4 linked regions of the Schizosaccharomyces pombe genome follow. Changing the gene in region 1 together with any one later gene gives a genetic interaction. Each region holds a gene or a part of one and is shown in the gene's direction. Other genes may lie near its edges.

Region 1 (7,573 bases):
GTTGTGGGCTCTGACCGCAAGAAAAAACCTGTCGTCCGCACAACATCCATCTTTACCATTTGACGAAGAGAACAAGCAGCTTCGTATTGAGAACCCTCAAATTTTTGATTGAGACTCCTTCAAGCTTTGCTGCCGGTTCTCATACCGAATTTATACTAATAGCCCTTTGACCCGGCAATGGACGGAAGTGACTGTATGTTTAATATTTTTACTTTCGTTACTAACGTTTAGCTTTATTGAAATCTGTTGATGTTTCCAAATTAGACAATGGCTCTACCATTTCATTCCGCGCCCGAGAAGATGGGTTTCTAGAGTCAATATCTAGCTCATCAGGAAAATTGGTGGACATGGTTTTGGTATGATATAAAAGCTAAGAGTATCTGAACATTGAGTAAAATATTAAAATAGACACATTTAATAGTGTCGATTCTTTTGTCAAAAAATAGTTATCACTCTTACATCTATTTATAAGTCCATTCTTTTGAACTGGATAACACAGACTAATGAATGACAATAACTACAAGACAAACAGATATAGTCTATGATTTTATCCAAAAGGAGCAACTGGAGCAAGCCCATTGTGCATTCGTGTTGCTCGAAGATGTTCTTATTTCCATATACGATTTTACTAACTTTGTAAAAATTAGGATTCTACATCAAAAGAGTGCCTCCCTAAGTTTAGTTTTCAAAACAAGCTAGACTTCTACTTTTTATTCAGTGATCGTGTTCTCCAGTTGCAGAAGGAGAGGAAAGTACTTGTACTCATCCATTGCGAATCGCTTCAATCGTTTGATTCTTTTTTTGCTCAGAAGTTGAAATATGCAGACTTAATTTCTTCGGATAATGTACATGAAATTTTTTTACCAGATTCAAATGCGGCCAATATCAGATATCATTGGGAGTGGTCACCTCCTTCGGGTAAACTTCTGGAGTATGAATGCAAAAACTATTCTTGCATAGCCGTTTACTCTACTGAAGACTGTACTCTTGAACGTATCTCAAAATTTAGCTACTACACCGTATCTCGTTGCGGTGATTCTATGGATGATACATTTTTTTCGGAAAGCCAGCGTGTCACGTCGCCGCTAACTACTAGCCAGACGGTACAAACCCAACCTCCTCAATCTCCGGAAGCGAAGACGGAGCTTTCATTGATTAATACCAAGACCGTTATATTCCCAGAGAATTATGAGGATGGACCGTCATTCCGATCTATGTTGCATGAGCTTGAGCAAAAATCATCTCTTATGAAGTATTATTGCAAAAAAATAATGAAACGTATTGTCCAATTAAGTGATGCATACGATGCATCGCAAGTTGCTGTTATGAAATTGTCAGAGACACTTTCGGAAGCTTCTAATAGCACCAGTATGAATATGGACATACTTCTGGACAGTTATTTAACCAAGGCTATGGACATTCATGCCACCTTTATACAAAAACTTAATTATGATTTAATTAATCTTTTATATGAGCCATTTCATAACATTTACTCAAGCTTCATTAAGCCAATTGATGATAGACGACTTGAATTTGATGAACAAAGCAAAAGCTTTTATGGATCTTTGTCGCGTTATCTATCAGCTAAAAAGGACAAAAAGGGAGGAGACTCTAAATTTTTTCAAAAAGAGAAAACGTTTGCCTTACAACGATATGATTACTATTGTTTTATGCAAGACCTTCACGATGGTTCCATTATTAATGATATTAACGGTATTTTTTTGCAGTACTTTCATCGCCAATATGACCATATTGCACTTTTTAGTAATTTGATGAATAGTGTTCTTCCGAATCTTCAGCAACTCAATTTAAAACTTGAAAAAACAAAATGGAGTACAACCAGACGTGACAAGGGCAGAGAGATGCATCGTTCCCAGGTAATTCAAACTAGCGGTCGTCCAAAGTCCATGGCACCGCCTTCACCATCTCCGATTTCCCCTTCTTTCCCTTTACATGAAATACAGAGTCCTATGCCAAATCGTCGCATGGCAGCCTCTGCAGATGATATTAGCCAGACAAGCAATTTTACAACGGAGATAAAGGGAAAGTGCATTTCTAATGGGGGTAGTGCAAGCCCTGACAAGATTTTTAAAGAGGGTCTACTCTTAGTATTTGGTGCTACCGAACTTGGTACAGATCTAGCTATGGTTAGTAAAGCCGCTTGGCACAAGCACTGGATTGTTGTTGAGAACGGTTCTTTATGGGAGTATGCAAACTGGAAAGATTCCGTAAAATCTAATGTTTCATCCATTTCGTTAAAACATGCATCTGCTGATAAAGTTCGCAAACAGGGAAGGAGGTTTTGTTTCGAAGTTGTAACTCCGAAATTGAAGCGACTTTATCAAGCCACGTCTGCTGAAGAGATGGACTCGTGGATTGAAGCTATATGCGAAGCAGCAAAGATTTCGTCTTTCCAACTTTCTAGGGTTGCAACGCCGTTGAGTGCAAGTGTGAGACGACCCTCTAAGGTATTTCCACTATTTTCTACGAGTTTTGAGACCACGCCTATCAGCCGAAAATTAAGCGGTTCGGGTATTAAGAAGGCTTTCAGTAGAAAAGGCTCGTGGAACCTTCAACAATTTTTTCGATCAGACAATTCGGGTACTATGCATATGGAACAGTTAGAGAGATACCATGCCAGTGCAAACATTTTCATTCAAATGCTCCGAAAGACCGATGTCTCTAACAGTGTGTGTGCAGATTGCGGTTCGGTTAAAGATGTTACTTGGTGCTCGATCAATATACCGGTAGTTCTTTGTATTGAATGCAGTGGTATACATAGGTCTTTAGGTACTCATATATCGAAAACACGTTCTTTGCTACTCGACTCGTTATCGCAGCAATCGAAAGTCCTTTTGTGCAAAATTGGTAATGCTGCTGTCAACCGTGTTTATGAAAAAGGACTTTCTAATCCTTCGCTGAAGCCAAAGCCGGAGCATAATGCGCAGGTGAAGTTGGCATTTGCCCAGAAGAAGTATGTGGAACACGCATTCATTGACTTTGCAGGAGTAGATGCTGATGCTACTTTATTGGAGGGTTTGGAGCAAAATAAAATCTCCAAAATATTACTAGGTTTAGCCGCCAAACCAAATTTTGAAGAGAATGGAGTGGTGTTTTTAAAAGCGGTTACTCGTGATACTAGTAAGTTACATCTCTTGGAACTTTTATTCATGAATGGGTTATTGCTTCCTGACTCCGAACAGTTGTCGGAGCATGTAAGTCCAGATATGCAATCATATCTTTCGCAAAAACAATTTACAAAGTATTTGAAAGAGTAGGGAGAAGCATTTTTACTTTTTGCATCAAATCATCTTTTATGTTCATTTTTCCAATCGAATTCATTCTTTCTTTTTACCATCTATTTCAATATCTATTCAGGTGTCATTTCATTTCGGATTTCCGTGAATTCCATGATTTGAAGCGCAACGAATTTGAATGGAGAGCTTATTAATCTCCACAGCTTTACTCTTATTCGGATCATGTGTTAATTCTATAATTTATTATTGCAATTTATTTTGGTTGTTTGCTAAACAACGTAATTTACTCATTATTTTCTTGGTCATCTTTTGGTTTTCGAACTTTCTTTTCCTCTTTATTTTCATTATACTCTTAATCTTTTTTCTTTCAATACAAAATTTTTTGACTAAGGATACAGCTATTCTTTCTTTAAATACGCATTCAAATGCGATTTTTAGGCTCTTCTCGATTGATGGATCTTATGCATGCCATAAGTTCATTTGTTATTGAACAAGATCAATATTCAATATACGTGAAATTAACATGTATGCCAAACAGTTCATTCGAGCTATTATAACATTTATTTTCTTCTTTTGCGAAACGAAGACGCTTAAGATTTTATTTTTCAACACATTCGGAACAACTGAATATCTATAGTAATTGAATCCCCTTTTTCTAAAAATGACAGACGATATTATCATTACCTATAAACTAGTTGACACAGTAATAAATATCATTCTTTTGTAACTTGTAGATAAACAAAAACAATTTTTTTGGTCTTGCCTTCCGTAACATTCAAACAACGATTTCTATTTGTGTAGTTGCTGCTTGAATGTAAATCCCTTTTTCTTCTTTAGATTTACAATAGATTGAAAACTAGTTTGATGTCGACATTCTTCTTATCAAAGACATGGAAGTTTGATCACCTTGCTAAATTTCTTTTTGATAACAAGGTGTAATTTGGATTGGAGGATTTCGCTAGCCACGTGCTTAATAAGTTACATTGAGATTTCAGGAATATAATATTTTGGAGCTCAAAATTATCGCAAGCTAGATATTCTGAGACTAGCCTACAAATCAGGACATCTTCCCTCGTATCTTTGCTTTCTACTCATTCCTCTTCCTTCACCTAAAATTTCAAGTCGGTGATTGTTTATATGAACAGTAAATTTTTTGGACTCGTTCAAAAAGGCACAAGATCCTTTTTTCCTTCATTAAATTTTTGCTATACAAGGAACATCATGTCTGTCTCAGCTTCATCTCTGGTTCCTAAAGATTTTCGTGCTTTTCGTATTGGCTTGGTTCAGCTTGCCAATACCAAAGACAAGAGCGAAAATTTACAACTCGCTCGTTTAAAAGTATTGGAAGCCGCTAAAAACGGTTCTAATGTCATTGTATTACCAGAAATTTTCAATTCACCATATGGTACTGGTTACTTTAATCAGTATGCTGAACCTATAGAGGAATCATCTCCTTCTTACCAAGCTTTATCCTCTATGGCAAAGGTTTGTTAATTTAATTTTCGTTGATTATGTGAGACTAACGGTACTGTAGGATACTAAGACTTACTTATTTGGCGGTTCTATTCCTGAACGCAAGGATGGCAAATTATACAACACTGCAATGGTGTTTGATCCTTCTGGAAAATTGATAGCCGTTCATCGGAAAATTCATTTATTCGATATTGACATTCCTGGTGGAGTTAGCTTCCGCGAATCTGATAGTCTTTCACCTGGCGACGCCATGACTATGGTTGACACTGAATACGGGAAGTTTGGTTTGGGTATTTGTTACGATATACGATTTCCGGAACTCGCTATGATAGCAGCTAGAAATGGCTGTAGTGTGATGATTTACCCTGGAGCATTTAATTTGTCCACAGGCCCTTTACATTGGGAACTACTTGCACGAGCCCGAGCAGTTGATAATGAGATGTTCGTTGCTTGCTGTGCCCCTGCTAGAGATATGAACGCTGACTATCATTCATGGGGACATTCTACTGTTGTAGACCCTTTCGGAAAAGTTATTGCTACTACTGATGAAAAACCGTCTATCGTTTACGCAGATATTGATCCCTCTGTCATGTCTACCGCTCGAAACAGCGTTCCTATCTATACTCAACGCCGCTTTGATGTTTATTCAGAAGTATTACCTGCTCTTAAGAAAGAGGAATAGATCGGTATAGTTGTTGAGTATAATTTTATGTTATCAACATGCATTTTGTAACTGAATTGCATAACTAATTATGCAATGTGCCAATGAAATTCAAATAATCAGATATATTATTTATCTCCAATATCCCAAACCCGCTTTCAAAATTGTACTAAGAAAACTTAAATGTATTAATAGTAGCCATTCCTGTTATTATTGTTATAGGATTCTCGCTGATAGCCGTAACCCTTTCCGCGATTACTACTATAGTGGTTACCAGCTGGCGGTCCATTCGAATAACCACCACCTCTCGAGCGCCCGCCGTATCCTTCGTGGCCGCCGCGAGAGTTATAGCTTGCATTAGAACGAGGAAAATTGCCATTACCAGACCAAGGAGGTTGAACTCCACCGTTTGCAAAACCATTAGTAACTCCAGTGTAGCTCTGTCGACTACTGTAACTTTGCGATTGGTAAGAGCGTCGGACACCATAACTTTGGTGTCCTCCACGATACGAATTACCATTGTTTCGGCGGGAAGAAAAGCTCCTCTCTGCACGTACTTGGTTGATATCTTCTGGGGTTAACACCCTGTTCGGCATTTTCACTCCCCTTAAAAGCATGGATTTATGTACGAAATGCGATTTAGGTACTTCAAACACAAGACTTATAGATTGATTATCATCTATGCTTCCATACTTCTGAAGGGCGTCAGCGGATGTAACATCAATTGGGCATTGAACGGATACATTGGGAATTACGGAATCATTGGTGTTAACTTTGCCAAACAATCCATGTGCCATCTTTCCGGATAACTTAAGTGGTTTACCTTGACGTTTCTTGGAGTAAAGTTGTTTGACAAGTTCGCTAAACATTGGATGATGTTCAGAAATAAATAATAAAGTAGAACCATCCTCATTTCTTTTTGACTCTTCCTCGGTAAGTTGAGGATAGATTTTTGATACAGCATTCAAAAGCCGATTTTCATCTATAAATGGTAAAAGAGCAACTCCCTGCCATTCAAATTTTTTCCCGTTTAAATCAATAGTAAAATTTTCCGGGTAAAAGTCAATAATTTCAGAGTTTTCATCAGTCATAAGAGTTTGCAATTTTTCAGGTAAATTATTTTTACTAGCAGCAGGTAAAACGCCTAGTAATTGTTCGTAAGGCTTGAAGGGTTGATTTAGTTCAAATTTTACATCTATGGAGGCCAAATCTTTGAAATCAGCGGCAAAAGGAGCATAATGATATGGATAATACCAGGTCCAAGATGGACAGCCTTGATAATAATACAAAAGAACCCAGCACAATCCATGAACATAATGTTTAACAGCTTCACGAATTTTTTCTGGTTCATCGGGTGAAATGTGGAATTTTTGTTCATAATACCGTTCGCGGTATCCAGGCTCATACAGGCGGACTGTATCAGTATTTTCATTTTCTTCAGTCGAATCTGGGGCCTTTCTCTTCTGACCCACATTTGAAACTTTTGTGTCTATTGGATGTACAACAGGGGTACTAGATTCAATACTATCGGTATCTTCATATGCACTGGATGAAGCTATGCTGTCTTCCAAAGGAACATTTTGTAGTGTCTCATTTGAAACCAACTGAGCTTTCAATGCAGAGGCCGCCAATTTGTTAACTGAAGAAACAGCAGCTGCTTCCCTAGAAAGTCCAAGACGGTTAGCAGCGCGATTATTAATTAATTCTCTATTAGTAGCGCCTAGAGATCGATTTGAAGTTTTTTCAGACAAATTAACCAAATCCACTGGAGCCGGAGCGTCAATTTTTTGAGTTTTCTTTGGCGGTTTAGTATCAACAGAAGTTGATTTAGAAGAGGTAACAACTTCTGTCGATTGCGTCTCAACTGAACGCTGAATTACGACGTTGTCAACATAAGATTCTGATTCCTGATTTGACTCGCGTTGTTGACGGCGTCTATAGTTTTCGTTACGACGATCTTCTTGCTGTTTAAGACGCTTAAAAATATCATCTTCCTGGTTACCTACAGCACTCAGAATGACTTCAGCACGAGCTAAATTAACAGAACCATCCAAAGTAAGATAACCACCCATGTGCGGAAGACTAGCTCGCCATATTTCAGTCAACCGCTCTACGGCACCATCACGAATATCTAAACTAGGCAAATGAGGAAGAAAATCATTACCCACAAAAAAGATAAAGA
Region 2 (7,618 bases), 2.7 Mb from region 1:
ATATCACCAACAATTGAGTCATCTATGAATAAAGTGAATTTGCCTGGTGCAGAGGAGCAAGTTTCTGCAACACCTCTGCCAGCGTCTCCTAATGCACTGCTATCACCAAATGATAACACTATAAAACCTGTTGAAGAGTTAGGCATGTTGGAGGCACCGCTTGACAAATATGAAGAGTCACTACTTGACTTCTTTCTTCACCCAGAAGAGGGACGCATTCCTTCCTTCCTGTATTCGCCGCCCCCGGATTTTCAAGTTAACAGTGTTATTGATGATGATGGCCACACTTCTCTTCATTGGGCATGCTCAATGGGACATATAGAGATGATTAAGTTATTACTGAGAGCCAATGCTGACATTGGCGTGTGTAACAGACTGAGTCAAACACCATTGATGAGGAGTGTTATCTTTACCAATAATTATGACTGCCAAACTTTTGGACAAGTGCTTGAGCTTCTCCAGTCTACTATTTATGCTGTTGACACCAATGGTCAGTCAATTTTTCATCATATTGTGCAATCAACCTCAACTCCTTCAAAAGTTGCAGCGGCCAAATACTATTTGGATTGCATATTAGAGAAACTAATATCGATTCAACCATTTGAAAATGTTGTGAGATTGGTAAATCTACAAGATTCAAATGGAGATACCTCTCTATTAATTGCTGCTCGAAATGGAGCCATGGATTGTGTAAACTCTTTATTAAGTTATAACGCCAATCCTTCTATTCCTAACCGACAAAGACGTACAGCTTCCGAGTATCTTTTGGAAGCTGACAAAAAGCCACATTCATTGTTACAGTCAAACTCAAATGCTTCGCATAGTGCTTTTTCATTTTCCGGAATAAGCCCTGCTATTATCTCGCCATCATGCTCATCGCATGCTTTTGTTAAGGCAATTCCTTCAATATCTTCGAAATTTTCTCAATTAGCAGAGGAGTATGAATCTCAGCTTCGAGAAAAAGAAGAAGATTTGATTAGAGCGAATCGTCTCAAGCAAGACACGCTTAATGAAATTTCCAGAACTTATCAGGAATTGACCTTTCTGCAGAAAAATAACCCCACTTATAGTCAATCTATGGAAAACTTGATTCGAGAGGCCCAAGAAACTTACCAGCAGCTTTCGAAGAGGTTACTAATATGGTTGGAAGCACGACAAATCTTTGATTTAGAGAGAAGCCTCAAGCCACATACTTCATTATCTATTAGTTTTCCTTCCGACTTTTTAAAAAAGGAAGACGGACTTTCGTTAAATAACGATTTTAAAAAGCCGGCTTGCAACAACGTGACCAATTCTGATGAATATGAGCAATTAATTAATAAGTTAACTTCTCTCCAAGCTTCCCGCAAAAAAGATACTTTGTATATTAGAAAATTGTATGAAGAACTAGGAATTGATGATACAGTTAATAGTTACCGTCGTCTTATTGCAATGAGTTGTGGCATCAACCCTGAAGATTTGAGTTTGGAAATACTCGATGCTGTGGAAGAAGCATTAACCCGAGAAAAATGAATCTTGGAAACTTTCATTTACATCTTGTCTTAATGTTACGTTCTTTATTTAATGATACGAGTTATGATAGTTAATGATTTTATCCATGACACTCACTGTCAAACTGCATTTATCAACGTTATCATACTTTGATAGAAAAACACGAGTTATTTTATATATTATTTTCGAATGGAATCAAGTGGAAAAAACATATATTGCTCCTTCCTAACAAAACTATTATGTTACTTATTTATGCGCAGCTAAAACAATCTACTATTGTAAAATGATTTATCTCATTTACAGCGCGTGCTTCCATTCATGATTCATCCTTTTTGCATTCGCACGTTAATGATCATCTAAAGGATACCAAGTTACTGAGCTTCACTTTAATTTGAGGGTCCTGTTCAAATAGGTAAAAGAGTGATTAATACAAATAATCAATTATTTAATTGAAAGAAAATCTATAGCAGTATTTCTCGTAAATACGATATAAAAATATGTAACCTATAAACGCAGAAATCGCGTTTTTTTGAATACATTTATTATGTTTACTTAGCATACATAAATTTAATAACGCTGTTGGAATACACAATTTGAATTAACGTACTGGTTTAACTAGAGGACGTTAGTGCAGCCTTTCCCCAGCAGCTACCATACTTACTTTAGTCGTGTATATGTATAATTGAAAATTTCAACAATCTTTTATTTTTGTTCCTTCGTTGAAATATCTACTAAAATATTTTAACTTTGATAATTAAGTATTGCATAAGGAAATGGATGCGTTGAAACTTTTGACAACTAATGTCAAATTTAAGAATAAAGTACCTCAACCTTCTATAAAAGAAAAAGAAGCAAAAAAATTACAAGGTATTACTAAGGGAAAAGCTAAAGTTACTGGTAATAATCCTGTTGATCCAATTGAAGAGTTTCCGGAAGGAATACTTTGTGAAAACTTAAAAAAACAAAACATAACAGAATGTACCACAATTCAAAGATATGCCATTCCAACGATAGGTTCTAAACGAGACCTATTGGCATGTGCACCAACTGGTTCTGGAAAAACTATTGCATATCTATTCCCAATTTTGCAAAAACTTCAGTTACATGTTCCGGGTGGATATAGAGCGATTATCGTAGCGCCGACTAGAGAACTGTGCGAGCAAATATATAGACAGGCAGAAAAGCTGTCTTTTGGAACTTCATTGAAGATAATTGAATTAAGTAAATCTAATGAAAAAATTCAAGAAAAAGCGCCCAAGCTCCGGGAAAAGTATGACATGTGCATAGGCACCCCGATGAGATTAGTACAAGCAATACAAACCGGATTGTCCTTTGAAAAAGTAGAATTCTTTGTTATGGATGAAGCTGATAGACTTTTTGAGCCTGGCTTTATTGAACAAACTGATCATATTCTAAGTGCATGCACCAGCTCTAATATTTGTAAAAGCCTTTTTTCCGCTACTATTCCATCACGCGTCGAAGAGTTAGCTAAAGTCGTAACGGTTGATCCGATTCGAATCATCGTTGGTTTGAAAGATGCAGCCACGGATAGCATCGATCAGAGACTCTTGTTTGTTGGTTCGGATACTTCCAAAATTGTGATTTTGCGTCAAATGATTTCAAATGGAGAGTTAAAGCCTCGAGTCGTAATATTTGTTCAAGATATAGAAAGAGCGAAAGCATTGTACACAGAACTCTTATTTGATGAAATTCACGTTGGTGTCATTCATGGAGAATTACCACAAGCCAAGCGCGAAGAAGCACTTGCGAAATTTCGGAAGGGTGAAATTTGGGTTTTAATAGCAACAGATCTTCTTGCTCGTGGTATCGATTTTCATGGTGTAAAGATGGTCATCAACTTTGACTTTCCTCAAAGTGTTCATAGTTATATTCATCGTATCGGTCGAACTGGGCGTGCAGGAAATACAGGACAGGCCGTTACTTTTTTTACAAAGGAAGATGGTGAATATATCAAGCTTATTGCTGGTGTAATGCGTTCATCAGGTTGCGAGGTTCCAAACTGGGTTATGGCACTTCCTAAACCTAGTAAAGAAATGAAAAAGAAGTTGAAGAAGAGTCCTCCTAAAAGAAAGAGGATTACTACTAGAGCTTCTTACGACAGACAAAAGGAACAGCGTAAGAAGGAGTATATTAAGAAGGTAAAAAAAGAAGCCTCTATCAAAAAGCATAATGAAGCTACTGGAGACAGTGGACAATAGATTGTTGCTACTGAAAGTATTTATATAAAGGGTTTTGGGTTTTAGTTTAGTTTTTGTGTTCATTTAAAAAAGTCATATTCACTCCAAAATACTATTGCTTTGATATAATAGAGCCTTATATTTTTTAGCAATCATATTATTTTCTTTTACTTTTATTTGTGGTAAGAAACTTTTATGTTACTGTGGTACCTGACATATCTAACTTTACATCTTTTGTTTAACAATAATGCAGCAAGTGCTGTACGGCTTTTTAAAACTGATAAAAATCTACACGAGTACAATTAATGTAGGCGTAAACAGGTACAAGGAGATTATTTTATTTTAAGTACCCAACAGGGTTTTTGCAATTGTTATTTTAACTACAATTTGAAAGCTATATTACGTTGCTGACACTGTTTTATAATTTCTCGTTTTCGAAATCACGAGTGTGTTTCAGTAAATATTATATTGTTTTAACTTACTTTATATTGTGTATCATTGAAATTACCTATGAACGGAGAAAAATTGGTGTTACTTAATTGGTATATGGGAGTAGAAACTTCATCACAACCTTAACTTACCGAATCCCATCTCTTTCCAATTCAGGCTATTTCGAAGTATAATGTTTTCCACAAGTCGAATTATCTCTCGTATTAATTACAATTTTTTAAGGAAGAGTCACTACTCTACTAAAACAGTTGCTGAACAAGCCAAGGGTCGTTTCACTCCCTTAATCCAAAAATTATCGGGTATTTTAAACATAACGGTTAATTTGTTTAACTAACTTTTTCAATTTAGCTGTACAACAACCTATTATGTACTGGGCAAATGTTTCGAAAGAGCTGGTTCAACAAGTATATCATTCTCAAAAAATTGCACCCCCTTCCAATACTCATGTAAGCAACTATTTGCTACAAAGAACAGATCCACTAATTTCTCTTTTAGTCTCCCTTCCTTTTTTGGAAAAGTCAATCCTCTGAAGCATGGGGCCGCAATTTTTTCATCGCAGTTGAAATAGTTGGTATTTTCTGCGCTGGCCAGATGGTTGGTCGTAGAAAAATTACTCCATATCATTAAAAAGATGAATTTAATCTTTCATAAAAGCTTCTGATTGCTGGATACTTATGCATTTCAACTACTGCGAATTCATTTTGTCTCCAACATACACCAGGCTGTTCAATAAATGAGACTATTAATAACTATCTTTTGTTAACATATTAAGATGAGGTCTTTATAAAGCATTTCTGTTAATAGGGAAACTAAATTATAGGTCTTAGGTAGCAGGACCTAATTGTAGGCGTAAGTGTTATTACCCGGCACTGTATTGCTTGTTTTTCAATTTTGATTTTGAATAACCATTAATTTAATTGTAAAATCTACCGAAAGCAAATGTCTCATTTTCGCAATCAATCTTAAAATCAGTTTGTACTAATAAATAAATATTGCTAAATTGATGGAGTTACCTCACTGTCAATGAGCGATTTCGCATATTTTAGTTTCCACATCTCCAAACAAAATGGGATAATCCTACTACCAAATACTTTCTGCGCTACACCACCTTTAGGGGAATTTTTGGGTCTGACCTGAAAACATAATCCAAGAAAAAGAATTCAATGTTTAATCAACGCTTAGTACACACATCAAGGATAGCTATTCGTAATGTACAATACTTACGCTATAATAGTACATGTAAGCAAACTTAGGAATAGTCATTTATTTGCTAACGCTTCAGCAATCCCAAATCTTCAAGCAGTTATTCGTAAAAAATTGCTGGATTCCATGAAATCTAGGCAAAAAGATGTTGCGTCTACTTTAAAAGTACGTTGGAAATAAAACGTGACGGTCTACATGTTAAATTGCATCAGTGTTCAAGCAATGTGAAGAGGCTGTCAGAACTATGTTATCTATGTTTGTAGATGAATATGACGCTAACAAGCTTAGGTATTTCTCTCGGAAATCGAATATGCAAACAAGTCGAGTAAGCCAGTTACTACAGACTTAGACGTTCTGCGAGTACTTAAAAAAAACATAAAAAAGCGTAAACAAGCTATTGAACAGTTTCGCAAGGCTGAGCGTCTTGATCTAGCGGAAAAAGAAGAATCTCAGATTCAAACTTTACGACAATTCCTACCTGAACATGCTAGTAATATTTAAAAATCTGTAAAAAGAATACAATCTAGTCATTTAATAAGTCTCTATCCTTCAATGCTTTATCAGCTTACCCTCGAATTTAAAAATATCTTGACTTAAATAACTCAACGTTCTTAATGTGTGCAAGCCACGCTACTAAAGACAGTTTCTTTTGGTTTTTTAATAACAATGTTATACTACGCAGCAATATGACACGATTGATTCTGCAACGTATCATTACATATCCTGTAAATGCTATGCGCTCTTTCAATGTTTTGAATTGAACAGCTAAGACTTATGTAATGAGAAGCTTTCTGAGTTTTTTTACACTGATTCAATTTATGCATGTGAGTTTCCATTCATACAATTAAATTAAACAATCGTCGCTGTTTTCAGCTCTTAACAGCATTATCTTATTATTAGTAATGAAATTTTGGTTAAAATTTGATAAGCGATCGGTATCTTAATTATTTAAAATAAAAGTTAATGCGGTAAAGTAAGTGAAACTATTGCAACGCTTCGATATCTCATCTGTTGAACTATTTGAAGCCGAAAAAATTGGAAACTTTAATTTTTTTCCTTTATAATGAGTATTGTATTAAATGCTTGAATGGTTTATTTAATAGCATTGGAGGTTGGAGGCAAGTAAGCCAATTCCCTCTTTGCGCTCATTATGTGACGGCGACTTACCAGCTAACTCAGCAATTACCAACTACCTTTAAATACGCCAGAAAATTAATAATAGCCCGAAACGTTCTTTGTGCCAGTTTGTAATTTAAATTCGTACAGGCCCATGATTACACGTTTATCGGGCGCTTGCTTGAGGCGATCAGGTGCTAAAAGAAATTGGCCTCGTGAACATTTGGTTCATCGGTCTTTGCTTGCTAGTTTTTCCACTACACAGAGGGTTTTAAAATGCTCAGTCGGACCTTTTCGTACTTCAAATGTTGTTTTCAAAAGTAAAGAACCAAAAGATAACAAACCACTGGATAACAAAAACGATCCCAAAAAGACACATAATGAAGATGAGTCACATACCAACGAATCTTTGCCATCTACGGATAAAAAGAAAAAAAAGGATAATGACGATTTTAAGCAAAATTTGAAATCTTCTTCAAATAAGACTGAGGAAAAGTATTCTGCTACACAAGCTTCTAAGTCTAAAAATGACGAATTTGAATTAGGTGGTGAAGAAAATGAGGATGAAATGCCTTTAAATGGGGAATTTAATAAAAATGTTCCGGCCAAATATTCGGTTCCTGATGTGTATCCTCAATTACTTGCGTTACCCATTGCGCGACGACCTCTTTTCCCTGGTTTTTATAAAGCCATAGTTACCAAAAATCCCTCTGTTTCAGAGGCCATTAAAGAACTGATTAAAAAGAGACAACCTTATATCGGCGCGTTTTTGTTGAAGGATGAAAACACTGATACCGATGTTATAACGAACATTGATCAGGTTTACCCGGTCGGTGTTTTCGCTCAAATCACCAGTATTTTTCCAGCAAAAAGTGGTAGTGAACCTGCATTGACTGCTGTTTTATACCCTCACCGTAGGATACGAATAACTGAACTGATACCTCCAAAAGAGGATGCTGATAGCGCTGCTTCTTCAGACGCAGCAGAACTTGAAACCGATAAAAGCTCTAATCTTTCTTCCAATGGAGAAGTTAAGTCTGATCTCAAACAAGACAATGGGAAAGAGGAACCTGAAAAGGAAGTTGAAAGCACACCCTCAATTCTTCAAAACTTTAAAGTCTCTCTTGTTAATGTCGAAAACGTTCCTAATGAACCTTTTA
Region 3 (8,236 bases), on another chromosome or scaffold:
TTAATATTAATAGTGCAATATGTCTGGCCGTGGTAAAGGTGGAAAAGGTTTAGGAAAGGGTGGTGCCAAGCGTCACCGTAAGATCCTTCGTGACAATATTCAAGGTATTACTAAGCCTGCCATTCGTCGTCTTGCTCGTCGTGGTGGTGTTAAGCGTATTTCCGCTTTAGTTTACGAAGAGACTCGTGCTGTCCTCAAGCTCTTCTTGGAAAATGTTATTCGTGATGCTGTCACCTATACTGAGCATGCCAAGCGTAAGACTGTTACATCTTTGGATGTTGTCTACTCTTTGAAGCGTCAAGGCCGTACCATTTATGGTTTCGGTGGTTAAATTCGATATCAATTGCCGACTCCGAATTTTTTGTTTCGAGTCTATCAATTTTATGTGTACACTATAACTATTCTATATATACATGCCAAACGAGAATGTTTTTCATCTGGGCGATATCAGAAGAAGCATTATCAATTTGCTAGTGCAATTCATAGACAAAAAGGCGTTTGGTCTTTGTGAGAAATTTTTCATATCGCGTTGTATCACGGCTGAATACTCCATCTGACAAGAAGATGAATTTTTCTTCGTGGATTTGTGATTAATACATTTATTGAATGAAATGATTAATATAATGTTCATTAAACCCGAATCGTATCGTGATATTTATAAGTAGTACAAATATAGTAAACGCGCAAGTTTTTCTTTAGGTAATTGTTTGTGCGACCTTAAGCAAATTAACCTAGTTGATGCGTTACACTGTTCTTCGTGTCATCTTTCTGGGTATGGGGAAAGTGTGTCTAGTGAATGGGGTTAAAGAAGGTTATCTAAGCGACTAGTTGATAGCAAACAGTTGCATAGCCAGGAAGATTGTGAATTGTACGGTACATCGTAGTTGTGAGGTAATACGCAACTTTCTAATTGAGAGATATCAAATTGAATCAGCTCGATCGCATACTTAGATACTTATTAAGTGTTGTAATTTCGTCAAATAAAACTTTTAACAATGTAAAAAAGTACGTACTTTCTTCCGCTCCTTGCTTAATACCACAATAAATGAATTTACCTAATCTGTATCTAACAACCACATAGTCAACGGGACTAACAAATTCCAGTAAAGTGTTAAGGATAAAAAGCTTTCAGCAATGAGAGCGTACGACTCTTTCTCTAATCTGACATGTTTTCTTTTGTGTTTATAAAGCATTCGTTTTGTATTGACAAATTTTTCAATTACCTTGGGTAGGTGAATTATTTTTGGGCATATGACATCAGAACGCGTTGAACAATTAAGTTCACTTTGACAAAAATACAGATTTTTTATCACTACACGTCGTTTACTTTATATTTTACTTCATCTTATTACAAGGTTACTCTGTAATTGTAACGTTTGACGAAGCCCATAATCCAATCCTCTTTTTCGTTGCAGAGGAAAATAAGGAAGAGTAAGTACGTAAAGCCTACGAAAAGAAAGAGAAATATAAAAAAGTATACGTTTGTCAGTGCAATATTGAATGGTAAGTTTATTAATTGTTCCACTCATCGACTAAATAATAAAGTAGAAAGACGAGACATTTATGTGTATGCTAGAACACACTGGAATCCATTTGTTCACGAGTTGTTCTCGTAATAACATAATGATTGGTATTGCCGTGTGTGAATGCCAGTGATTATTGATGTTTGAAAGACTACAACTGATAAAAAGATAGTTGCACTAGTGATAAAAGTCTGTTGAAATTGGTATGCTCTAAAAGTCATTTGTACTTGAGTAAGCAGTCATATGCGTGTTGGCTATCCATCTGTTTGACTTGTTTGAAAATAATACACATGGGTTATGCTTTTCACAAGAAAGTAGAATAATTGATTCCTACATCTGCATCATCCATATCGATCGGTAAAGTATACTTTATCCTACGAATTGGTTTCATAGTTAAATCACTCCTCTGCTTAGCAGCTCCGCATCCCCTTCGTGTACTAGCCAATCTCATCGACATCGACAAATTGACTTCACCTGAGTTAAGCATACTTAATTCAACTTAACGAAGTGCAACCCACCACGACTGACCTCTGTAATCTCGGAAAACGGATAAGACGGTTCAGTACGTTCGCTAGTAAGAAGCATGCATGCAAAGGTACAAGAGCAGGCTTCCCATGCAAACTGAGAAAATAATCCCTGAAGAATTGCTAGTAAGCCAAATTGCAGCGCCTCCAAACATCCTTCTATTAAGGACCAGAAAGAATGATGCTGATGACTAATTTTTGGGTTATGCAAGAAGCATCTGGCATTTTCTTTAACTTCTCCACGAATAAGGAGAAGGTCACACGACGGAAGCGTGGAATAATGATGAGTTTGATCGTCGGTAAACTCCCCCAGAGTAGCGAAGATCATCGGCATCGAAAGAAAGAAGGGAAGGAAAAAAAAAAGTAAAAACGACTTGATGAATTCCGTGATCATGTAGGGTAACGGAAGACGAGATTACCGAGTTTAAGTAAGCAATCGAGGTCTGCATTGCGATGCCGATATGGTGATCGGGAACATGAAGCACTTGATTGACTTGAACATGTAGGGAGGAAATTTTTTTAGCGTTTTTAGACTTTTCATTTAGCTGCTATCTTAGGAGTAGCGTGACACGGCGCAAACGAAAAACAAGACATTTGTTGTACCAAACATCCTCAATTCCATCGCATCTCTAAAGTACGAGTAACTAGAGTAAGATGCAAATCAACGTCGTGATATGACCTAAAAGTATCGTGGACTTGATTCATCCTTCAATCTCATCTTTCCCCGACTCCGCCTCTTCATTTTGACCTCATTCTATGATTGCTTTTGGAATGAAGCTTGCAGCGTATTCCTTCATTAGTGCGTTATGACTAACCGCGATATATAAGGTGATTTAAGTACTGGAAGCTCGCTTTCCATATGAGAGGACAGCGTAGAGCGCAAGTCGCAGATTGAAGGAATGTAATTGGGGTTCGCTTACACATTACGCGCTTTTATTTGAAAAGAACGAATCAGCAGCACTGCCAGCGCATTCTGACATTTCCATGCTACTTCATTGGCGGCCTCTGATTGGCTCAATCAATGTAAAACGACGTCAATTGCTAACCAATGTTGTTTGACAAGGGTGGTTTTTTCAATCAGACGCTTGACGTCATTCTTTATATATACATTGCCTCGCGCATCTTTGCTGGGTAGTATGGACACTACAAACAACACATATGCAAGATCAATTTCTAGTAATGGGAACGATAACTTTCCCACTCCAGATTGGCAATTTAATGGATCCCAATTGCAACAAAATCGTAAATCCAAAATGAATGGTCGCTCTGTGACTAATGTATTTCCGAATGCATTCTCGGATGCTGAATTCGAGCAAATCTCGATGCCCGAACTCAATTTAAAGCGTTTTAACCCTACTACGTTAGAAGAAAATAACTCAGATTTATCTGATATGTCCTCCTGGGACTATATGATGAACGTTCCCATTCGTGTCTACAACGATGCTGACACAATGGACCCCTTCTCCCTCGACACTATTCCCGATTCCTCGATGGACATGCCATTTGATCCCTTAGCATCTGACTATGGTAACGCTGCTAACTTTCCAAGTGTCCCTTCGTCCCTTGGCAGCAATCATCAATTTATCACCACACCTCCTGTCAACGGGTCGAACGAACCTACCTCGGCTCAAACGAATCACATTATTACTGCTAACAGTTCCCCCAGTGGAAATGCTGGGAGTAACGCATCTGCAAGCATGTCCGTCCCTCCTCCTCTTACTCCATCTGCTTCCACCATTAATGACCAGCCCTTCTCCAACTCTTTCGATTTACCTAGTCAGGTGATTGCTGATGGCACTGGCGCGATTTCCGACATCAACGGTAATCCATTTCCCATGAATTCTCCACCTTTGGATATGGAACCGTTGCCCTCGATATCCATGGATGCAAGTGACTCTGTCTCCGAACAACTTGTAAAGGACGCCTCTCTTCCTAGTGGTCCTTTTTCAACCGATTATTTGGAGAATGGAAGTGACTTAAAAAGGTCACTGGGTCACAATCAAAAGTCAGACAGAGTCTCAAAAGATGTCTCACCTCAACACCAAGCAAATCCCTCTACCCTTAACAATCCTCTCAAGACCCAAAATTTTGATTCCTCTAAGAACCTTTATACCGACAACAAGGATTCCTCCCTTGTATCTCCAACGGGACTTCAATCCCGTATGGAACAAAATCCGGAAGTGCGGGCGCATCCTATGAAGGACTCGGCGACGAGCACTGCGTTACGCCGTTCTCATGCTCTGGGAGCTGCTGCTGACTCTCTTCTTCCTCAAGAAAACTCCGCTCAGATATATGATGGGAAGGATGTATCTATGGTCAATGATAACATGCACTCCGATGTTCGGCAGGACAGCTTCAATAAAGAATCTATTAAACAACGCATCCCTTCTTTGTCTCCTCCGATAACGCGATCATACAATGCCAAGCATCGCCCCTCCTTGGTGCTTGGTACGTCGGTAAATCCACATTCACTTTCTCCTTCACAGCCTCCTGTTGTCGTACCTTCAAATACTACGATCAGCTCCTCTCCTCCACTCACTTCTCCTGTTAAAACCTCTGCTAATATACCTAACTTATTACCGACTTCAGAGTTAGACAGTTCCAACGCTCCTCACTCTCAATCGGCTGCTACTCATGACCTAAATGACGTTAAGTCGTATTACAATACTAGGTCTTCTCATTCCGTGGTACCTAATCCAACCAACCAAAAAGTAAGCATCACCGGTGCTGCTGCTGATGGCCCCAACGGATCTGCTCCTGTTGACACCACTCCTACAAATTCTTCTACTACTGCTACGGGTGCTCAGAGGAAGCGTAGGAAGTTTAAATTTGGTAAACAAATTGGTCCAGTTCGGTGTACTCTTCAGAACAGAGTTACAGGAGAAATTTGTAACACAGTGTTTTCTAGGACGTATGATTTGATCCGTCACCAGGATACGATACATGCTAAGACACGACCTGTATTTCGATGTGAGATTTGTGGCGATCAACGCCATTTCAGTAGACATGATGCCTTGGTTAGGCATCTCCGTGTGAAACACGGTAGATAAATTGAAAGGAGTCTCTTCTGCCACAAATATTAAAAAAAGGTTATTGCATTATCTATTGTCATTTTTCACCTCTTACGCTTCTTCATTGATTCCTTGTTTATGAATTTTAAAAAAAGTTGCATTTTGCTAATTATTTTCAAGAAAAAAATTGGTACCGTTATTATTTCACAGCCCTTTTGAAAGTGCTTTTTCCTTTGTCTCCTTTCATGTACATTTATCATCTTAATTTTGCCTCTTCATTTCATCGTATCCTCAAGCTTCATGTGTAATTTCAAACCCCTTCTCCGTCTAACGGTTTCCTTTTTTATTTTGGACGGTCATAAGTGTTTTTATATTTTGTTTTCATTTTTATTGGGATTGGTTAATATTGTTTTTTTTTTCTTACCAAGTTACTGTTAAATGTTAATAAAAAATTTTGTGTGTTTTCACCTTAAATTGAATACCTATCATGTAATTTGATTTAGTTTTACATACTTAAATTTTAATATTAGTAAGTAGTATTTGTAATTTAGAAATATTTTTTCTGCCGGTATTAATTATTATTGTTTTTCAGTTATGTTAGGTATAGACGCGGCCTCTAGCAATCAAAGACGGTGGATCAAGGTCTGTAGTAAATCGATCAATCCATAGGTTACCTGTCTCTGAGATACATATGCGTAGTGGTTGATTGACAAACGCGGGAGATAATAATCGAAACTCAAATCTTTTCATGTTCTTTGACATTTGGGGATAAACAGAACGAAAGTACTCTAACATACTAGTCACTAGAAGAGGACCTGGAAGAACGAGATTTGGATAATTTTCGGACTTTGTAGCGTATGTCGCATTCCAATGGATCATATGAGCATTAAACATTAATGCTGAATAGCGAAACACCATAATAGGTGTAGGTGTGAATACCCAAGAGTGTTGTGGAATACTTTTGCTACGTAAAGTTTTTGGTATAGCCAGTTCTTGTCGATTTAAATAGGCTAATGTTCTATCTTCCTCGATACATAATTGATGCTGACTGTCGTAAATTTTTCTTCGAATATATACATGCTTTGTCTGTTTTTCTGAAGTAGGCTTTGTTAGAAAAGAACTTTTTGGAAGACAAGCTTCAACTTCTTTTGTAATTGATGGAGATTTCACAGATTCTTCCTGAATCAATTCATGACATTCCGAAGTTTGGAAAAGATGTAAAGGTCTATGAAAACGAAGGACTCCATGTAACCATATTCGGCGCTTAAAAGAAAAAGGATTATTTGGCTTTGGGGAATAAAGACTTTCATATCCATCTGAATTCAAATTTGATTCAGGAGATGCTAAAGAGAAAAAAAGAAAATGGTAACCAGGCTGTAATGATGTTATTTTAGCATCCATTGTTATGCAACTAACAGGCAAATGACCACTTAAAGTAGCTTTTAACTTATCAATTGGCGCTTGAGATAAGAAATCCTTTAAAACGACCTTTGCTGACATCGATGATTACTTTCTGAAACGCTTTGCACATTGACTTTTCAAGTAGGCAATTTATCAATACTGAAGGTGATCTATTAGAAATTATTATAAATTAGCCGAAGCAATTATCCCTAAGAAGACCTCAACTTTTAAAATCGGAAAGGACAAATCTTTGAAGCAATAAGCTCTTAATTTTATGGAACCTAATAACTTTAACAGCTACACATTACTAATTGCTTTTGGCACGACCCAAATTGCTTAAGGTATACGTGTAATGCTTGTTTTATACCGTTAGTGGAGACTTGACCTCTTTTAGCAATGAAGTACTAGCAAAATTTATGATAATCGCACATCTAATAAAAGATAATTTCACCAAATGAAAAAAAAAACCACCTAAGCAATTAATATACGATTTAAGTCACATACATTTAAATTAAGCCCTTGTTGGTGAATCTTTATTAATTATTAATCGTTTATGAACGCTGAAGTACCTTAACCTGTTAATTGTAAAGATCATTTCTATATAATGTTAATAGGTCATCAATGAGCCGCTTTTTCATTTTCAAATCGAATTTGACATTGAGGTGTTGATTTACATCTATTGAAAATGAAGGAGCAACCGATTTGCCTATATATTTTCATGCCTCTTTTTTTGCTTGTTTTTTGTTTCATATTCATCAATGTACAACGTGCTATTGGATTACAACACGTTATTATGGTAAACCGAACGATAACGAGATTCATTCGTTGTAACCACATAATACAAAAAGCAACTTTACTGTTTTGAGAAAGAGCAAGCATACCATGAACTATCTTGAAGGTACGATCGATTTTGCAGGACAATTAAGGTGTCAAAAGTATATGAACTATGGTCTATGTACAAGTGCTGTATGTCAGGGATAAAATCTCATTTATTTACTAATATATCTATAGGTTATTTCGTACATTTATGGGTATTTAGTTCAAGATTCTTATTGTGTGATTAAATTGTTTTTAATTTTAGCATCGTTGGTGGCTCTTGTAAGCTAGTTTTTTTGCTTCTAGTCATGTAATATTAACATTCATTTAAAAATAGGTGTGTCTTCCTGCTTGGTCTATGTACAACAAAAACCCTTTAAAATTTCAAAAGAAAAAGGAGTAAGCGGGAAATGGGGAATCTTTCTTTACTTGAATCGCAATCTCGCGAAATTAAAGAACCAAAATACCAAACAAAAGTTGCTCCGGCTTTATAGAATACAAATAATCTTTCATTCCAAAAGTAATGCTAAACATGTTTTAACAACTTTTGTCCGAAAACCTTTTTTTAAACGCACATTTTTTGCATATCCACAATACACGATCGATAGATGGATTTTTCCGTGATGGTTCCTCAAATCTTATTGAACATGACTTTCCTGGTACCAATAAAGAGTTACATCCTTTACATATGGTGCGCTTTATATCTGGGTGTATTCGCATTACTGATTTTTGTGAAACATCCTTGGCTGTAGAGATATAGTGTCTCGACAATGTAGGTTCTTGAACGTTTCTAAAAAGTAATTGCGAAGCCTGGTATAAATATGATACCCTTGCATGTTGGTCCTTTGACTTTGTACTCATCTCGACCGTTTATGTTTAAAACACTTGAGCTATTAAAGGAATTGCAAAACAGAGAACAAACAACTTTCCGTTTTTATAATGGAATGCAAAAGTCAAAAAA
Region 4 (8,375 bases), on another chromosome or scaffold:
TTTACATCCTTTTCGGTATTCCTATTACAATCCCCTTCTGTAAGGTGACGATTGAAAATTTCCAAAAAATGATTTTCATACAATAAAAATGCTAATCTTTCAAAACGTAGCACATGAGACAAGCGAAACCATTTCAACATCATCAAAAATAGACTTGACAAAGAATATAGCACAAATTCGAGGTTATTTATTGAATGAGAAATCTCACCCGAAATTGCGAATCCTGTTGCAAAGTCTTCCGTATATTCAATTTTTACATTAGACTTACGATTCCTAGCAGCCTGTTCACTTAATTCTTCAGTAGGCGAGTCTACAACTGCATTGTCTTGAATTCGTTGTAAAACAGCGTCTGAAGAAGAGAAAGCCTCTACGTAAAGGCAATTAACTTTTTTTGAAATATGGTAAAACAGTTGGACTGCTAACTGAATAAAATTATCCATATACGGGAATAAGTCATCATAGGATTGAGAGACAAATTTAAGAACAGGATCTTCTGTTTCAAATGAATGAGCAGGTCCCTTCACTGAATTGTAAAACTCATGCAGATCTGCAACGAGTCGTTGCTGCAAAGTAAAGCGACGTAAAAGCTCTCTTTCAGATAACAATTGTTCAACCGCTAGAGTTCTCTTCGTTTTATTTTGGAAAACATTGGCAGCCTCTGTAACACTGTAAGGTATTGTAAGCTTCTCCAAGTTAGGGGTAAAGCAAAATGGTAAATTTTGGTTAGTTTGAAATTGTTCCCTTCGAGCGGACATTTTGCTGGTTTTTGCAGTATTCACCAAAAGTGATGGATTTTCGGGTGAGCAAAGTCGGGTACTAGATATAAAGGATGATTTATGAAAAGAGTCTGTATTGAGAGTAGGTAGTATGTGTGCTTGTTCACGATCAAGTGGTACAGGGTAATAAGAATCAGCAAAAGAAGAAAACTTAGTAGCCATTTCATGACGAAAAACTTCGTAGTCTAATGCTGTGGTTTTTGGCTTTTGCTGAGACGTAGAGATGTTTAAAACTTCGGCCAACCCAGCCTTTTTTTCCTGTAAATAAGACTGAGATCCCCAAAGACGAATGCAAACTTTAAAAATCAAAAAGGATAATTTTTTTAGAGATGAATGAATAACCTTATCGAGGTTCAACTGATAATCGCTGGTTATGTCAATAAATAGTTTTACTAATGTAGGCAATACCGGGGGATTTAATGATCGGATAGAATGAATCCACGTTTTATCAGTATTGTTGAGAGTCAAAAAAAAGAACATTAGAGATAATAGTAAATTAAGAAAACCTTCGTCTCTACTGTTATCCAGAAAGCTGTGTTTACGGGTACGATTCCATTCGATAAAAAGAGAATAAACAGTCTTAGGAATATCAAACTCTCGCAGCAGATAAACGTTTTCTGAAATACTATGGACGTGTTCTTCAAAACTGCCAACGGAATCGTAAGCACCAGCTGCTATGTACAGGATCGAGTAAAGAGCGCTGTTGCGCAGCAATTCACCCGAAGAGAGTTCGTGATGGCAATGAAGGATAAAATTGCGCTTCTGGTCCAAACTCATGGAAGACCAATTTTGTTTGAGGCTCCAGTGACGGACAGTTTGATAAACTCTTAACTTTGAGTAGAATATTTTATTAGCGGAAAGAAACAATTCTTCTTCGCAATCGAAAAAACTATTCAAATCGTCCTCCAAATCATCTTTAGAAGTTCCTTTGAATTCCATAGGTTTGTGTTTAGACGCTGGGGAATCAATAAGTTTCTTTAGTCTTTGGAATTGACTGAAAGAAATACAACTAGCCGTTGTAGCAGCCATACTTTATTGCCCGTCTAAACTAAATCTCCAAAGCTTTTGAAGGCTTTCGTTGTTGATTTTATGGGAAATGCCGTCGAAGTTGTTATGAATAGGGTTCCTAATGGGTGTAATACAAGAACTCACAACCACATCAAATGAACATTAATGTGCCCTTGACGTTTTTAAGCAAATTGTTTGCTAAAAAAGAATATTTATAAAATAATGCAAAGAGACCTAACAGTTGATGAATTCCTAAACTATCTATATGTACTGCTTTGTTTACAAAATTCGATTGTCTTTTACTGATATATCATTTTAGATTAATGTTAAAGAATTATTCACATTGAAAGAGAAATCCTTTCATTTTTGGAGAAATTCACTGATTTCATGTAGTAAAACGAAGAATTTTCTGTTTGTGGTTGTAGGCGGTATGTTATGCTATGTTATATTACAAGAGTTCTCCCTTTATCATTTCTTTTAAGTAATTATAAAAGCTAATACGTAACATAGATGAAGTTCTTGTTTATGACTTAAAGGAGATCTCATCAGATGCTTCAGAACCTGAACCTTGCTTTTATTTGCATTGTCCTCATGAAGCATCTTCCTCGCGGCAAGGAGATATCAATCAAGACATGCCAAATGTCATCAACAATGTTCGTTGTGAATTAATTGGAGATTTGGAGTATTTTATTACCGCCAATGATTGTGGAAAAGTAGCGATATACGATGTTCAAAAGTTAAATCGAGAGCCTATAATTTATGATGTTCAGCATTCAGCTTGGGGACTAGCAGTTTCACCTCTTAGGATCCTTGGCATATCTTCCAATTCTCACAATGTTAATTTGTACGCTCATTCAATAATACCGATCTTCTAATTGTAATTCAGATTTCATCTGTCGCCTGAATTTAAACGATTTAAAGAGGATTACCATTCTCCTTGGTTTAGACAAGAGACATTAGTACTGGAAGGACATGAACATAATAGTATGCGGTTACGAATACTTTACATTGTCTAATGATTTTAGTACCGTGTATAACATTTAATTCTTCAGGAACATTATTACTGAGTGGATCTATTGATCGATCACTTCAGATATGGGATATAACTTCATTAAGTTGCCTTTGCAAGTTTTATACAAAGTTAAGGTTGTAATAAAAAGCTGAATTTCGAAAACTAATTACTAACTTTCTAGTATTTGGGGAGTTAAGTTCATTGATAAAAATGCGTTCTATCATATTTCCATCCTAAAGCACAAACCGGGATCTCTTATTCCGGCGCAACAATTTGGCCAAAGCCCTTGGAAGCCACCCATCATGTCCAGTTCAGCTTTCTTATTATCGCATGAAGAAGATTTCGATGACGACGCGGTTTTTGAAGGTGAATACTATGTTCATATACAGGATGAACTTCCGGTAAGGCTCCTTGTAAACGAGTTATTTAAAATACATTTTAATTAACATACTTAGAAGACGAAGGTAAAAAATTATTTTCGTACTTATCTGCGGCAGAAACCTGAAGAACTATTCATTTTTACTACGAAATTTTCAATAGTTTTATGTGCTTACATGGGAAATTCACAAATATTTCCTTTGGTGAGCAGTAAAAATTGCTTTGAGGAACCCATTACCCCCAGGTTTCAAGCTTTACATAGAATCAATATGATAGAATGTATTCCCGAATTACAGTCAGTTGTTTGTGCCAGTCAGAGTGGTCAATTAACATTGCTTCGCTTGATTTGTACAACAAAAATTCTCAATGGAAATCCAATTTATGTTTACTCATTTGTTCCCCATAAAATTCGCCTCACTCATTTGGTGGATGCTCCTTTATTGGGAATGAGTGTTTGCCCATTGTATCCTGGAGAAGAAAATCCTTTTAAAAGATTTAAAATAATGGTAAGCATCTATAAGATTATGTTTTTAGCTAACTGGTGATTTCACAGCTTACTGTTTATACCGGAAAAGTTATTTCTGTAGAAGTTCAGCTCTCGGAAAATTTATACGACACTAGTCATATAGGAAACATACCTCTTTGACGATTCACGGAAATTACACTTTCAAGTTTTTACTTTTTTCTTCCGTGTTAATGTTTGTTGATGTTTTTACGTACACATGTATATTACCCTTTGGGATGTTTGTCAGTTTATTTCTATTAAGTTATTACAATTACAACAAAGGAGAAAAGTTAACATTTTTAAAAATAAAACTAGTAAATATATAGCATCAATCGACAGAGTTAGGTTGCCGTAAGAATCATCTCGTAAAAGCAAGTTGATCTTACTAGTTAAATTTGTTGCGAAAGCTTTTATTTAAAAATTAAAAATTCACTCTTGGTAAATTTCCATAACCAATTATCAGTCACTTTAAGCCTATTTCCATCTTCTTTGGTGAATGCATTACAATGTTTACATGTCTTAAACCTCACCACGGAACTTGTTCTTGCGATTTACCTTCTTCAATCGTTTAAGTAATATATCAAAGAGAAGGAGTATTCATGGAGGAAAAAAGGGTAAAATGTAAAAAAAAACTTACCAGTACCATTGGAACTTGGAAATATATTCAAGCTTGCATCTTTTTCGCGATTATACTAATTTCGAATTTTTACGGCTTGAAATCGTTCACCGACGGGTTCCTTTTACGAAGAGCTGTTTTAAACCAAACGTCTTTATGCGAAAACCCGCCTGCCGATGTGCGCGAATGGAAAAATTCATCAGGTTGTTGGGCTCCCAAAATATTTGAACGGGCCGTTATTGTCATCATAGATGCTCTCCGTTATGACTTTTTAATACCTTATAATGATAGCAATTATTACCATAATGCATTCACGACTCCATACGAAACTTCTGTCCTTCATCCAGAAAACTCTTACTTAACACAATTCATAGCAGATGCCCCAACTACTACATCTCAAAGATTGAAAGGTCTCACTACTGGTTCGTTACCAACTTTTATTGATCTTGGTTCTAACTTCGCTGGAACAAATATTGATGAGGATAATCTGCTTCTCCAATGGAAATCATTAGATAAACAAATCGTATTGCTAGGTGATGATACTTGGGACGTATTGTTCCATGATTATTTGAATGAGACACTCTCTCAACCTGCTTTTTCTTTCAATGTACCTGATCTTCATGGAGTAGATAATAAGGTTAATCAATATGTATTCGATTATATAAAAGATGCCAACTTTGATGTCCTAATAGCACACTACTTGGGCGTTGACCACGTTGGTCACCGCTTGGGACCTGATCATCCAACAATGCGAGATAAACTGAATCAAATGGACAGGTGTGTGAAAGAAATGATGGATCTACTGGATGATAGTACATTACTCATTGTCATGGGAGATCATGGTATGGACAACAAAGGAAATCACGGTGGTGATTCATTCGATGAAATTAACTCTGTACTGTGGATGTATAGCAAAAAGCCAACCTTTGGCTATTTGAAACAACCAGGTAAAGTACTAAGTGCAAATCAGGTAGATCTAGTTCCTACCTTAAGTTTGCTCTTAGGAAATCCCATTCCGTATGGCAACCTTGGTACCTTAATTCCAGAACCTTTTTACTACTATGGAGATGAATATTTGTCGAAAGCCCAAAAGATTAATATCGGTCAACTCAATCGCTTCTTTAGCGAGTATGATTTAGATGCTTCTGACTTCCTTTCGTCCTCTGTCCATAAAAATAATAACTCTTATTTAGATCAATACTTTTTAGACTTTGACTATGCAAGAGACGCATTCTCTTACTTTAAAGCAATTTGGGCGGAGTTTAGTCTTTTCCCTATGATCATTGGATTTTTACTTCTTATTATAGGTGGATTTAACTTGGCTTTGTTGATGCAAGATAAGTCGGTGATTTTTAGGATGTCTGCCAATATGGCTCCATCAGTCATGAAATGTTTGCCGGTTTGCTTAATTTTAATTTTGGCAAACAACGAACTTCATTCTCCGTTCCCGGCGGAATTCTATGTATTACTTCCTTCATTTTACATCCTGTTAAATTCCTTTAATCAGAAGTTGATGGAGTACTTTAAAGGTTTTGTCAAGTTGGACTACTTTAGTATTTTTATAACTTTTCTACACGTTTGCAGTTTTGGTTCCAACTCTTTTACAGTATGGGAAGATCGCCTTTGTCACTTCTTGATCATCACTATTGGACTAGTTATGTTTTGCAAATGCTTTTCCGAAATGAGCCCCCTTTTTGCATGCTCTACTTACTCTGCATTGGCATTTATCCTTTTACAGGTAATTTCTTCGTACGTAACTAACTGTCGCGAAGAGCAAGGTGCGTTTTGTGTTAGCACGTACATCTCAACTCCTGATAACAGCCTCAGAACCTTGATTGTTTTGGCGTTAATGGCTCTTTCTTCTATTATATTGCCTCTCATTCTGCAACTTCACTTGCGACGCGTTCTTGGCCTTTCTTTAAAACTTTATCATCTTTCAATCCTCTATTTTTTCGAGTTAATATCTTCAATATTTTGGATTGCTCATCATGTTTTCGCGAATGATGCTTTATTAGAAAAGCAGTATCATCATGTTTTATACTCACTTGCAAATACTTACGTAATTTGCATTCTTGGTGTTTTGATATGGCAATTCTTCTTACTGTCGCGATCCAAGTTTGCTAAAATAAATGTCATCGAAAGATCATATTTCGTTTTTGCATTACTATATTCTTTTCTCTCATTTTTGCAAAGGCCCCTGGGACATCTCTCTTTATTTTCTTGCTTTTTACAAATCCTGCTTCTTATTCAACTTAAACAATGGCAGCCAAGTGTTGGTCACAACTTCTTTTCGGTAACGCTAGGTTTATTGGGATTGTCGCATTTTTTTACAACGGGAAATCAGGCTGCTATATCGTCTCTTGATTGGAATTTTGCATTCATTCATTCAAAATCTGCTGAAAACCAGGCTATAAGCGCTATATTCATGTTTTTGCATACGGTCGGTGCGCCGATACTTACTTGCATTTCGATTCCACTATTTTCATTCGAACCACTTTCCAAGAAAAATAGATTCTTGATAAACTTGTTTCGATTCTCCTTTTCTTTCATTCTTTATAACCTATTGATCTCGACGAGTACTGTCTTCTTTGCTGGATTTTTTCGTCGCCATTTGATGGTTTGGAAAGTGTTTGCACCTCGGTTTATGCTAAGTGGAATATTACTTGTTACTCATCAGCTCTTTGTCCTGATCCAATGCTTCGGAAGTTCTGTTGTCAAATTTCCTGAAGATGCTGAATAACAATAAAGCTTCACTGCCCTCGTTCAATTTGACGTATAATTAGAATTGTAGAAATATTTTCTTTTATATCCTTTAACATTTTAAACCTTATAAGGAAATAATCAAAACCACTTATCAATGCATTTTCATCATTATTATTTTCTATGGGTACACCCATACTACTCCTTTACGCCTTCTGATATGTACATTTAACATTCACCACAATCATCGTACCCAATTTTTAACAAAAATTAATTATGTCTGTTAATAAGTTGCTTAATTTATAATCAAAATTTGGTAGCTTGACAAAATGTTCTCTTTGCTACGAAAAGCTATAGATGTTAATCGATCCCGAATTACCTTGCATGGGATTAAAGTGCATAGTATCAATACTTTTCGTTTAATTCCTTATTCTTTATCCTTAACGAAGCAAATTCGATTTTATGCATCAGAAGGGACAGATGCAGGTGAAATGGAAAAGGGTCTTTCAGTAGTAAATGCCAATCACGAAAATCGTCCTTTCAGAGACCTTGAAGGATATCACTTCAACACATTTACATTTTTGAAAACTTTAATGGATAAAGGATATACAGAAAAAGAGGCCGAGGGTCTTCTCGAAGTCACGAATATGTTTGTTACTGATATGCTGCGACATAGTCATCTCAATTACCTGTCTGAAGCTGATTTTGAAAATGTACGTATGATTTATTAAGCTACAGAATCCTTCCGTCTTTAAATTTATCTTTAATTATAGATTGACGGTTTTTTTTGCTTTCAAATGAACTGTCATAGCTAACTTGTATAGTGCTCCTATTTGTTTCGTACAGCTTTGTCGGAGCTTCGCTCAGAGAAAATAAATATGAGAAAAGATCAAATCAGTTCGTTACGTTCAGGCTTGTTTTCAAACCAAAGGGAAGTAGAAAGTTTGGAACAATTGGTTCACGAGCAGTTAAACAAGCTTAATACCGAAAGCAAAATGGAGTTTGAAAATCGGAAAAATGATACAAAGAATGAAGTCCAGCAATTGAGTGCAAGAATTGTTGAACTACACAATTTATTAGCCGTTTCGTTAGGTAAATTGAGGGCTGAAAATGAGAGGCAGAAATGGGACCAAATAAGAAAAGCAGCAGGTAAGTATATTTATAGTTCAAACTAGGTATTTGAAATTTCATTTATTAATTTCCTTTTCTTTTTCAGGTGTGGTGATGGCTTTTACAGGGTTTTTAGTGCTGGTTATTCCATTTGGACTTGGAGTACGAAGCAGAAAAAAAGAAAAACAAGATGAGCTTGATAATTTAGGTTCATTTAATTTAGATAACAAGCGCGATGATTATACTGATACTAATCTCTCCCATATGTGA

What was found.
Region 2: mutations in SPOM_SPAC26A3.11 (region 1) and rok1 together harm fitness more than expected from each alone (negative genetic interaction), as found in Schizosaccharomyces pombe (one large-scale study listed by BioGRID).
Region 3: mutations in SPOM_SPAC26A3.11 (region 1) and rsv2 together harm fitness less than expected from each alone (positive genetic interaction), as found in Schizosaccharomyces pombe (one large-scale study listed by BioGRID).
Region 4: mutations in SPOM_SPAC26A3.11 (region 1) and crt10 together harm fitness more than expected from each alone (negative genetic interaction), as found in Schizosaccharomyces pombe (one large-scale study listed by BioGRID).

The regions. Positions count from the first base shown.
Region 1 is NC_003424.3:3,352,338-3,359,910, forward strand, and holds SPOM_SPAC26A3.11 (mitochondrial omega-amidase), read left to right. Parts: upstream 1-4,339; 5' UTR 4,340-4,394; coding exon 4,395-4,742; exon of another isoform or gene 4,743-4,791; coding exon 4,792-5,412; 3' UTR 5,413-5,565; downstream 5,566-7,573. Other genes in the region: cnt6 (centaurin ADOP ribosylation factor GTPase-activating protein), read left to right, coding at 178-193, 232-356, 648-3,278; 5'-3' exoribonuclease Dhp1, read right to left, coding at 5,580-7,573.
Region 2 is NC_003424.3:687,219-694,836, forward strand, and holds rok1 (ATP-dependent RNA helicase Rok1), read left to right. Parts: upstream 1-2,134; 5' UTR 2,135-2,264; coding exon 2,265-3,710; 3' UTR 3,711-3,904; downstream 3,905-7,618. Other genes in the region: MBF transcription factor complex subunit Res2, read left to right, coding at 1-1,512; atp20 (F0-ATPase subunit G), read left to right, coding at 4,312-4,438, 4,488-4,585, 4,635-4,766; mitochondrial aspartyl/glutamyl-tRNA amidotransferase subunit B-related Aim41, read left to right, coding at 5,349-5,507, 5,631-5,843; lon1 (Lon protease), read left to right, coding at 6,613-7,618.
Region 3 is NC_003423.3:3,529,748-3,537,983, forward strand, and holds rsv2 (DNA-binding transcription factor Rsv2), read left to right. Parts: upstream 1-3,180; 5' UTR 3,181-3,183; coding exon 3,184-5,097; 3' UTR 5,098-5,541; downstream 5,542-8,236. Other genes in the region: hhf3 (histone H4 h4.3), read left to right, coding at 20-331; SPOM_SPBC1105.13C (uncharacterized protein), read right to left, coding at 2,013-2,441; 3-hydroxyacyl-ACP dehydratase Htd2, read right to left, coding at 5,656-6,558; signal peptidase complex subunit Spc1, read left to right, coding at 7,342-7,425, 7,471-7,557, 7,613-7,678; RNase P subunit Rpr2, read right to left, coding at 7,813-8,136.
Region 4 is NC_003423.3:1,326,788-1,335,162, forward strand, and holds crt10 (WD repeat protein Crt10, involved in ribosomal RNA decay), read left to right. Parts: upstream 1-1,928; 5' UTR 1,929-2,006; coding exon 2,007-2,051; intron 2,052-2,103; coding exon 2,104-2,212; intron 2,213-2,258; exon of another isoform or gene 2,259-2,294; coding exon 2,295-2,628; exon of another isoform or gene 2,629-2,670; coding exon 2,671-2,768; exon of another isoform or gene 2,769-2,809; coding exon 2,810-2,930; exon of another isoform or gene 2,931-2,973; intron 2,974-2,977; coding exon 2,978-3,197; intron 3,198-3,251; coding exon 3,252-3,680; intron 3,681-3,727; coding exon 3,728-3,820; 3' UTR 3,821-4,028; downstream 4,029-8,375. Other genes in the region: FAR complex subunit Csc2, read right to left, coding at 1-1,805; gpi13 (pig-O family ethanolamine phosphate transferase), read left to right, coding at 4,279-7,035; SPOM_SPBC27B12.07 (uncharacterized protein), read left to right, coding at 7,325-7,708, 7,820-8,144, 8,212-8,375.